Linked DNA regions of Danio rerio. The protein of the gene in region 2 binds, or shares a complex with, the protein of the main gene of each other region. Links are inferred from orthologs where the notes say so. Each region holds a gene or a part of one and is shown on either strand. Other genes may lie near its edges.

Evidence for each region.
Region 1: drc9 (region 2) and drc8 share a complex: the UniProt entries of both Homo sapiens proteins name them as parts of the nexin-dynein regulatory complex. The link is inferred for Danio rerio from reciprocal best matches to the Homo sapiens genes DRC9 and DRC8.

The regions. Positions count from the first base shown.
Region 1 is NC_133192.1:12,696,526-12,701,143, forward strand, and holds the start of drc8 (dynein regulatory complex protein 8), read left to right. Parts: upstream 1-1,617; 5' UTR 1,618-1,633; coding exon 1,634-1,655; intron 1,656-1,965; coding exon 1,966-2,050; intron 2,051-2,180; coding exon 2,181-2,253; intron 2,254-2,342; coding exon 2,343-2,422; intron 2,423-4,408; coding exon 4,409-4,451; intron 4,452-4,595; coding exon 4,596-4,618. UniProt on the Homo sapiens protein: Component of the nexin-dynein regulatory complex (N-DRC), a key regulator of ciliary/flagellar motility which maintains the alignment and integrity of the distal axoneme and regulates microtubule sliding in motile axonemes.
Region 2 is NC_133193.1:29,295,297-29,299,123, forward strand, and holds part of drc9 (dynein regulatory complex protein 9), read right to left. Parts: intron 2,598-3,827; coding exon 2,516-2,597; intron 2,346-2,515; coding exon 2,184-2,345; intron 387-2,183; coding exon 312-386; intron 1-311. UniProt on the Homo sapiens protein: Component of the nexin-dynein regulatory complex (N-DRC), a key regulator of ciliary/flagellar motility which maintains the alignment and integrity of the distal axoneme and regulates microtubule sliding in motile axonemes.

The DNA.
Region 1 (4,618 bases), on a different chromosome or scaffold from region 2:
CGTGTTTGTTGCTCGAAATGTGCCGCCGAGCAACATCCAGTGAATACTGGCACGGCCTGGCGCCCGGTCTTCTCGTGCACTCCCTGGGGCGAGGCGGCCTTTGAGCCCTAGGCAGGGAGCAAACAACCACCGAGGACCCTCAGGGAAACACGGGGGGCCGGTAGTGGGACCTCGCTGCGAGGGTTATGGTGGGTGGGAGTAGCGAGGCCCACTCATCTTCTATTTTAAACCATAGTTTCAAACTTTAGTTTACTATATAGTTTGAAATAGAAACCATGGTAACTGTTATGATTTAACTTTATGCAAAGAGCTTACAATGACCAAGAGCAACAGACCCGGATTCCGCCATTTTGAAGTGATAGCGATCGCTCGTCATTGCTGTCGCGATGGAAAGCAGCTGCTTTGTTTTTATTTAATTTATTCAAAAAGCGCGTTATTGTTTCCCAAATTGTAGATTGTCGCCTCATGGTAATTCTATGCTCTTCTGTGTCTGACTGTTGTGATGTTTTGCTTTGTTTTTCAGCTGAGATTTTGAGCAAAGAAGGACTATTGAAGACAACAGTTGAAGACAACCGCGGGTTATAATCACGAGCGCGCGCATTATAATGTTTTCGGGCTGTTTTCTGAAAGTGTGTCTTTGTTTAGATAAGTTTGCATGTCAAACTAAATAAACTATACTCTTTCTAAACACCTGTCTCGTTTTATTTGTCCTCTACAGCAATGCACTGTCATATAGGTCTGTTGAATGCATTTGTATGCAACATGGTTTGACAATACAGTAGTCTAACAAATAAATAGTTGTTATAAATGTACCTTCATTAGTCAACATTTGATGTTATGTTATGATTGTTATACTATATTTATTATTATTAATATGCTGTATGTTTAAAACCAGCAAATTATACTATATATTTAACATGTCATAAACTTACTGTTATTTTAACATTTGCCAAATAAAATGTCCTAAGACAAGAATGGGTGTTGTTTTGGTTTTGTGTCAACCTACTGTAGGTTTTAGGTTGACTACAGCAAGGCTACATACATCATAGGGAGTTTTTTTATAACGGAATAAATATTTCACGGAGATGATTTTACTGCGTGAGAAAACTGATGTGTGGCGTGAGAGCGTGAGAATACGGTCAATTGCGTGACTTTCACGCATTTTGGCAACTCTGAAATATTAGTGTTTGGACTATGTGATTATTTATTACTATAGCAGGTACTATTTAGCCTATATATTCTCCTGGATTGTATAAGTGCTTCTGATTTTTATTTAACACTGACATATTTATACACATAGGTAATTTAGACATGTACTCTTTATTGGTGCTTTCAAACGAATAATCGCGTTCATGCTTGTACAAAGGATGTATAAAAATGTTCCTTACATTCTTCCTTTTCTTCTGTTTTTTTAGTCAGTACTGAACTTTCCCCTTTTGTGAGCAAAAACTTTTGCTAGTCTATAAAAGATGTTCGGCATTTCTTATTTTGGTCGATTTAAACAATCATAAACAGCATAAACAGAAACATTTTTTTAAACTTCTGAAAGCGGTTCCTACGTAGAAGAACCACTTCCTGCCCTCCGTCTGAATGGCGAGTGTGTTCAGGTTACCTAGCAACCAGGGTTTTAGACATGGCGGACAAGTATAATGCAGGTAAAGATGCTACACGTAAAATGCTACGCTTTTTTTACGTTTGTGGGCTTACTGTATGCTTATTAATGGTGTTTGTATTCTCAGCATGACGTGTTTTTAAATACAGTTGCCATTACTACGACTGTTACCAGATCAATGATGTTTGAAAAGTTTTCAGTAACGTTGTTTGTTAACGTCGAGTAGTTAAAGTAACAGTAAAAGACCACACAGACAGCGAACATCTACAGCTGAATTGCTTTGTAAACACACACACACAAAATAAAATAAAAATGCGGAAAAACACAACGTTAATTAATGTATTTTTTATCAGAAAATATTATAATAGAAACTCAAAAGAGGATTGGGAATGCCTTTGATGTATTTGACCATGAATCCAACAAGACTGTTGATGTCAGGTAACGTTTCACTACGCTGTTTTTCAAAATATATTAGACCATTTGTTGATGTCTGTTAGCTTTGTTCTGCACATGTTCTACAAACAAGGAAGACTTCTTTAATGTTATCTGTCATTTTTCACCGTAAAAGGGAAATAGGCACCATCATTCGTTCACTTGGCTGTTTTCCTTCAGAAGCTGAATTGCATGATATCATCTCTGAGGTCAGTGGTTTTGTTTTGCCGGGTCATAAAATGCATCGCTCTTGTAAGTTGAGTAGATCAATAGTTATGAAGTGTCATTTCATTCACAGCTAGAAGAAGAAGAACCCACTGGATTTGTGCGCTATGAGAAGTTTCTTCCAACTATGACTAAGATCCTGCTGGAGCGCAAGTAAGACTGTAATGAAATAAAACAGTATGAAACCCAGATTATTCTTAATGTTTTTAAAAGGTCACAGACTGATAAATCACACAAATGCATCTATATATTTATATACAGTCTAACTCAAAATTATTAGCTGTCCTGTAAATAATTTTTTCTTACTCAGTTATTTTTAAATTGATATTCAACAGAGCAAGGATTTTTTTTTTCTTCTAGCAAAAGTCTTATTTGTTTTATTTTGGCTAAAATAATGGTCTTTAATAAAAAAAAAACATTTTAAGGTCAATATTATTAGCCCCCTTTAGCAATATTTATTTTCGATTATCTAGAAAACAAACCATTATTATACAATGACTTGCCTAAATACCCTAACCTGCCTAATTACCTTAATTAATGTAGTTAAGCCTTTAAATGTCACGTTAAGTTGAATACTAGTATGTTGAAAATCATCATCATGGCAAAGATAAAATAAATCAGTTTGATGTGTCAAATGAGTTATTATAACTATTATGTTTAGAAATGTGTTGAAAAAATTCTTTTCGTTACAGAAATTGGGGAAAACATTTACAACGGGGCTAATAGTTCAGGAGGGCTAATTATTCTGATTTCAACTGTACATGGATATATAGTGCTAGAAGATGAAGCCAAAATGTCCAAGGTATCAACTTGCACGGATCGTATAATTCCCACAGTTCCTACACACCCAATTGCAAGCACATAATGGCATGCATCCAAATAAAAGCAAACTTATTAAAAAATGTTCCGTATATACATCAACAATTGATGTAACGAGAAAACAAGGCGACACAGTGGCGCAGTGGGTAGCACTGTCAGCAAGAAGGTCATTGTTTAAAGCTCTGGCTGGGTCAGTTGGCATTTTTGTGTGGAGTTTGCATGTTTTCCCTGTATTGGCGTGGGTTTCCTCCTAGTGCTCCGGTTTCCCGCACAGTCCGAAGACATGTGGTATAGGTGAATTGAATGAACTAAATTGGCCGTAGTGTATGTGTGTGAATGAGTGTGTGTGGATGTTTCTCAGCACTGGGTTGCAGCTGGAAGGGCATCCGCTGCATTAAACACATCCTGGATAAGTTGGCGGTTCATTCTGCTGTGGCGATAAAAAATAAAGGGACTTAGCCGAAAAGAATGAATAAATAAGAAAACATTAATTAAACGCTTACCTTCTCTTCGATAACATTGAGGGAGCAGGGCTTTTTAAAATGTTCTGCAATCAATGACCAGAGAGCAATGGAAATATTTGGATTTCCCTTTTTCTATATTTGGCCTGTGTGAGCCAAAATCTCACTAATAAAATGTGTTGTCGTGTCTAAAGCAGACAAATGTTTTGCCTCTACATGTAGATGTGCTGGGGGTGGATTTAAACAATATGCAAGTTAATCGGCCGCTCAGGGCCCCAGTTAATCTGAGGGCTCCCAAATAAATACCTAGAATTATAAATTATACATATAAATATTATATATAACATTGCTTTCTATCATATTTTCCCCTACCTTCAATCATGGACCAGTTCAGCTGTCAAATCAGTAAAGATTTAGTTTTAAAAAACGAAATTGTTTATTTATAGTGAATTTATCTTAAGAAAACAAATGATTTAAAAAGTTTTATAAGGTGCTTTACATGTTATTATTATTTTGCATTAAGATAAAATGTAGAAAAGGAGATTGATTGATATAAGAAATAACAGCAAAATAATAATAAAAAAATTAAAGTACAAAAGGTGCCTTTTAGAACTTTTGGGTCTAATGGCTGGAACAGCTTAGGGCCCCAAAATCACTAAATCCATCCCTGAGACGTACAGTATATGACTATAAGTGTTTTAACATAATTTGCAGTACCTGTAAAAACTTAAAACTAAAATAAAATAAACATTTGATTAAATAAATATTTACTTTGCTAAAGTTTTTCCCACAATAAAATTTAATACAAAGCCTAGTATTAGTGATAATTGTAGCTCTGCTTCTTTCTTTTTTCTTGCAGGTTTCGTCCTATTACAGAAGACCTGCTCATACAGGCTTTTGAGGTGAGGCTGTTTTGTTTTTTAATTTTTAATGTGTGAATTTACCTTGTTAACATGTGAAACTTTTAGCAGTGTCAAAGACACTATGCAAGACACCTAAGACCAGTGCATTGATTTAATGGACTGTACTTTAATCTAATCTTAAAGGTTTTAGATCAACAGAAAAAAGG
Region 2 (3,827 bases):
GTTCGAGCCTTGGGTGGGTCAGTTGACATTTCTATGTGGAGTTTGCATGTTCTTCCTGCATTCGCGTGGGTTTTCTCCAGGTGCTCTGGTTTACCCCACAAGTCCAAAGACATGCAGTACAGGTAAATTAGGTAAGCTGAAGTTGTCCATAGTGTATATGTGTGAATGAGAGTGTATGGATGTTTCCTAGAGATGGGTTGTGGTTCATTTCACTGTGATGACCTTAATAAAGGATGACCTTAATAAAGGAACTAAGCCGAAAAGAAAATGAACGGATGAATAAATAAGAATAAAAGCTATACTTAACTCACTGCATGTTGTTGTTTTAGGAAGGCCTCTGTTTCAAAGTGGACATTCTTTTCCTCCTCAATTTTCTCTTGAAGCATCTGAGTGCACAACCAAAAGTGGAATTAATAAATTACAATGTTATGGTATATGTGCATTTTACAATATGTGTGCATGCCGGGATTACTGGTAATACTGCATAGGCAAATTCTGAATTCATGAAACTTGATAAACTGTATCAAAAACAAAAATACTGTATATAGCGATATCTACTCAAAATTCCATAGTTTAAAAAGTGTTAGTTCTCCCAAACATTAACATTATGATCTTAATTACTCACACTCATGTCATTGCAAACCCCAGATACCTCCCTCCGACATCTCATTCTATATTGACAGCAAAATAGGCTTATTCAAAGTCTAGAAAATAACCAAACTACATCAAACACAAGATATATGCCATCAGAGGTACAATCGGAACATTATCAAGCTACAGGAATACATTTGAGCGCACATAATATTCTAATTCAACAGTTTCTTCTCCAGATTGTCAGTATATTGAGCACATTTTTATGAGCACTGTGTACTAATGTAATCTCCTCTAACAAAAAACACAGGCAAGGTAATATGTCAGAGAAGCAAGATATATAACAGTGAGCCCTATACTGACACTGAAGAAAATAATCTTTTGAATTAAGTTATTATTTGTTTATCTGGAAATATTCTCATTATACAATTAAAGATACATCGACTGTTTAAAGAATGTTTTGGTACCATTAAGATTTAGTATGCTTCCACACCTAGATTTTTGTTTCAGATCCTGGTGCATTTTCCCAGTTAATGTGGTTCATTTATCATACAGTATGTGAATCCAGCTATCACACATCGATCGCCTGAATGAGGTGGTCTCGGCTCGATTGAAACGAACTCTGGAGCAAATTGATTGTAGTAAGAAATCAATTAGATCTAAACCAGGCTATATCACAGTGTATTATGGTTGTGTAATAGCCATATTTAGCTATATGAAGAGAGAATTATGAGTAGGACGGGATATCATTCCTACCGGTTTCATATAAAATTTGAAAGTGAAAGCATGTTAACTAGCAATTAGGGTGAGCTGTTTATCCGTTATGAAAAATCTGTCATCTGTTATTTCTCTCTATAATGTAAAGCATATAATGTATAAGCCCACTGGTATGTATGGGACAGTCTTACATCTGTTTTATATCTGGTGACAATGTCTGTAGGTGTCTAAATTAAAAATTAATGTGCAGCTTTTTGCTTAAAATGTCTTTTTGCTCATTGCCATAAATTAAAATAAGGACGCATGACAGCTGAGCGAGACTCTTCAAAATAAACCATGAAACTCTGACCAATGTGAGGAGAGTTTAATTGCACATGACTTGTTTAAACTATTTTGGTCCGTTTAGAAACTTTACCATGTGAAAATGAATCACATCAAGAACAAAGTGCAACATTGTAACAATTTTAATCCCGGTTTCGGAACAAAAGGATCGATCCACAGGTGTGGAAGCACCCTTAATCTAGAATAACTTAATTTGTATTTCAAAGATGATTGAAAATCTTAGGGAGTTGACATGAAATGAGGGTGAGTAATAAAGCTGTATCTGTTTTTGTGTTTCAACGATGCAAATATACTTTATTTTTCAAAATGTCTTGATGCATAGCCTAGTAAAAAGCCTTGTAAGTTTTATCTGCTCTGACACACAATTTGACATGTCGATAGTGTGAAGACTTTGCCCAAAGTTCCTTTGTGTTTCAGTGGTTGCTAAATATTTTGGGTGGTCTCTAGGGCACTGACAATGAGGTACTGCAGAGCACTGGGTGGTTTGTGGGACACAAAATTATGAAGCAAGGCAGAACAAGCGAATCACATACCTTAACTTCATCTTCTAGTTCATTCTCTTTGTAACTGTTGTGCTTTGATTCCTGGTAGACCAGCTGTTCAGCACAGCTCTTCACAAATTTCCCTTGTTGGTTTGTCCTCACCCTCATGTCCTGTACCTGGTCTTTTAGGATGGCCACCTCTTCCTCAAGCCTCTGGGAAGAAAGTAGTATTTTCTTTAAGAAATATGCAAAAAATTTAGAGCTAACAAACAAAAAAGCAAACAAAAAAGTTAGCTAGTTTGTCGTTAGGTCAATTATAATGTCTTATTGTCACATTATTTTCATTTTTAAAAGCATATATGTGTTCAAGTCCATTAGATTACCTCACACTCCTCTGTTTTTTCTTTGCGAATGTCAAGTAACTGCTTTTGCAGTTTTTTAATCTGGCGACGACCTTCTTCCTCCCTAGATGTAAAATAGGGTATACAGTATTATGCAAAATTTTGGCCACCCCTGATAATTTTCATAATTGCAAGCTATAGTCTGCTGGCCTTTCAAATCAGCAGTTTCATTTGGATATATTTATATCCTAGAAAAAAAAGCAGCATTTCAGTTCTGACATAACATTAATTCAATCAACAGATGCAATGCAATTTAACTATTAACAAAGACAGACAGGTGCAAAAAAATTTCGCACCCCAACAAAATAATGACATCAATCTTTTGAACAGCCACCTTTTGCAGAAATAACAGCCTGTAGATGTTTCTTATAGTCAAGGATACGTCCCTGAATTCTTGCTGAAGGTATCTTGGACCATTCTTTCTTGCAAAAATAACTTCAGTTCAACCAGGTTTGATGGGTGCCGAGCATGAACGGCCCTTTTCAAATCAATCTATAGATTTCCGATTACGCTTAAATCTGGAAACTGGGATTGCCATTCTAGAACAGTATATTGTGTCTGAGCATGAAGTCCTTGGTAGATCTGGAACTGTGCTTTGGGTCATTTTCCTGCTGAAACATCCAACCCTGTTGTAACTTTTGACTGATTCTTGAACATCCAGAATCGGCTGATACTGGGTGGAATCCATGCAACCTTTAACTTTGACAAAGTTTCCAGTACCTGTGCTTGCCACACATCCACAGACTATTATGGACCCTCCACCATATTTTACAGTAGGGAGCAAGTTCTTCTTCTGGAATGCGGTGTCCTTTTTTGTCATGCAAAGCACCTATTGTCATGGTTTGGGAAGGATGAGGGAGTGAGGACCCAATTGCAGACGAAATTATTTATTTTAAAATAAAACATGACAGCAAAATAACAACCCAGAAGGGGAAACATTAATAAAACTAATAACCAATAAAAAAAAAAAACTAGGATGGAAAGGCTGGCAGGTATCAGAACTGGAACACTCAATACTGGAACAAGGCAACATGCAAGAAAGAACTGGCACAGAACAGCAGACATGAGGAGAATATAAGCAGAAGTAAATTAACACAGGTGAACAAACAGGTGTTAAACAGTTGAATCTAATAAACTAATAATGGGTTAACGAGGAGGGTGGGACTAGACAATAGACGGGAGAGCACCTGACACAAAGAGACAACACAAGCCATGTGCTCACATAAAATGAGACTAGAACATGCAGCCAATGAGGGAATTCATAAAGATAGCCTCTTTGGGGCTGGTGCAGACA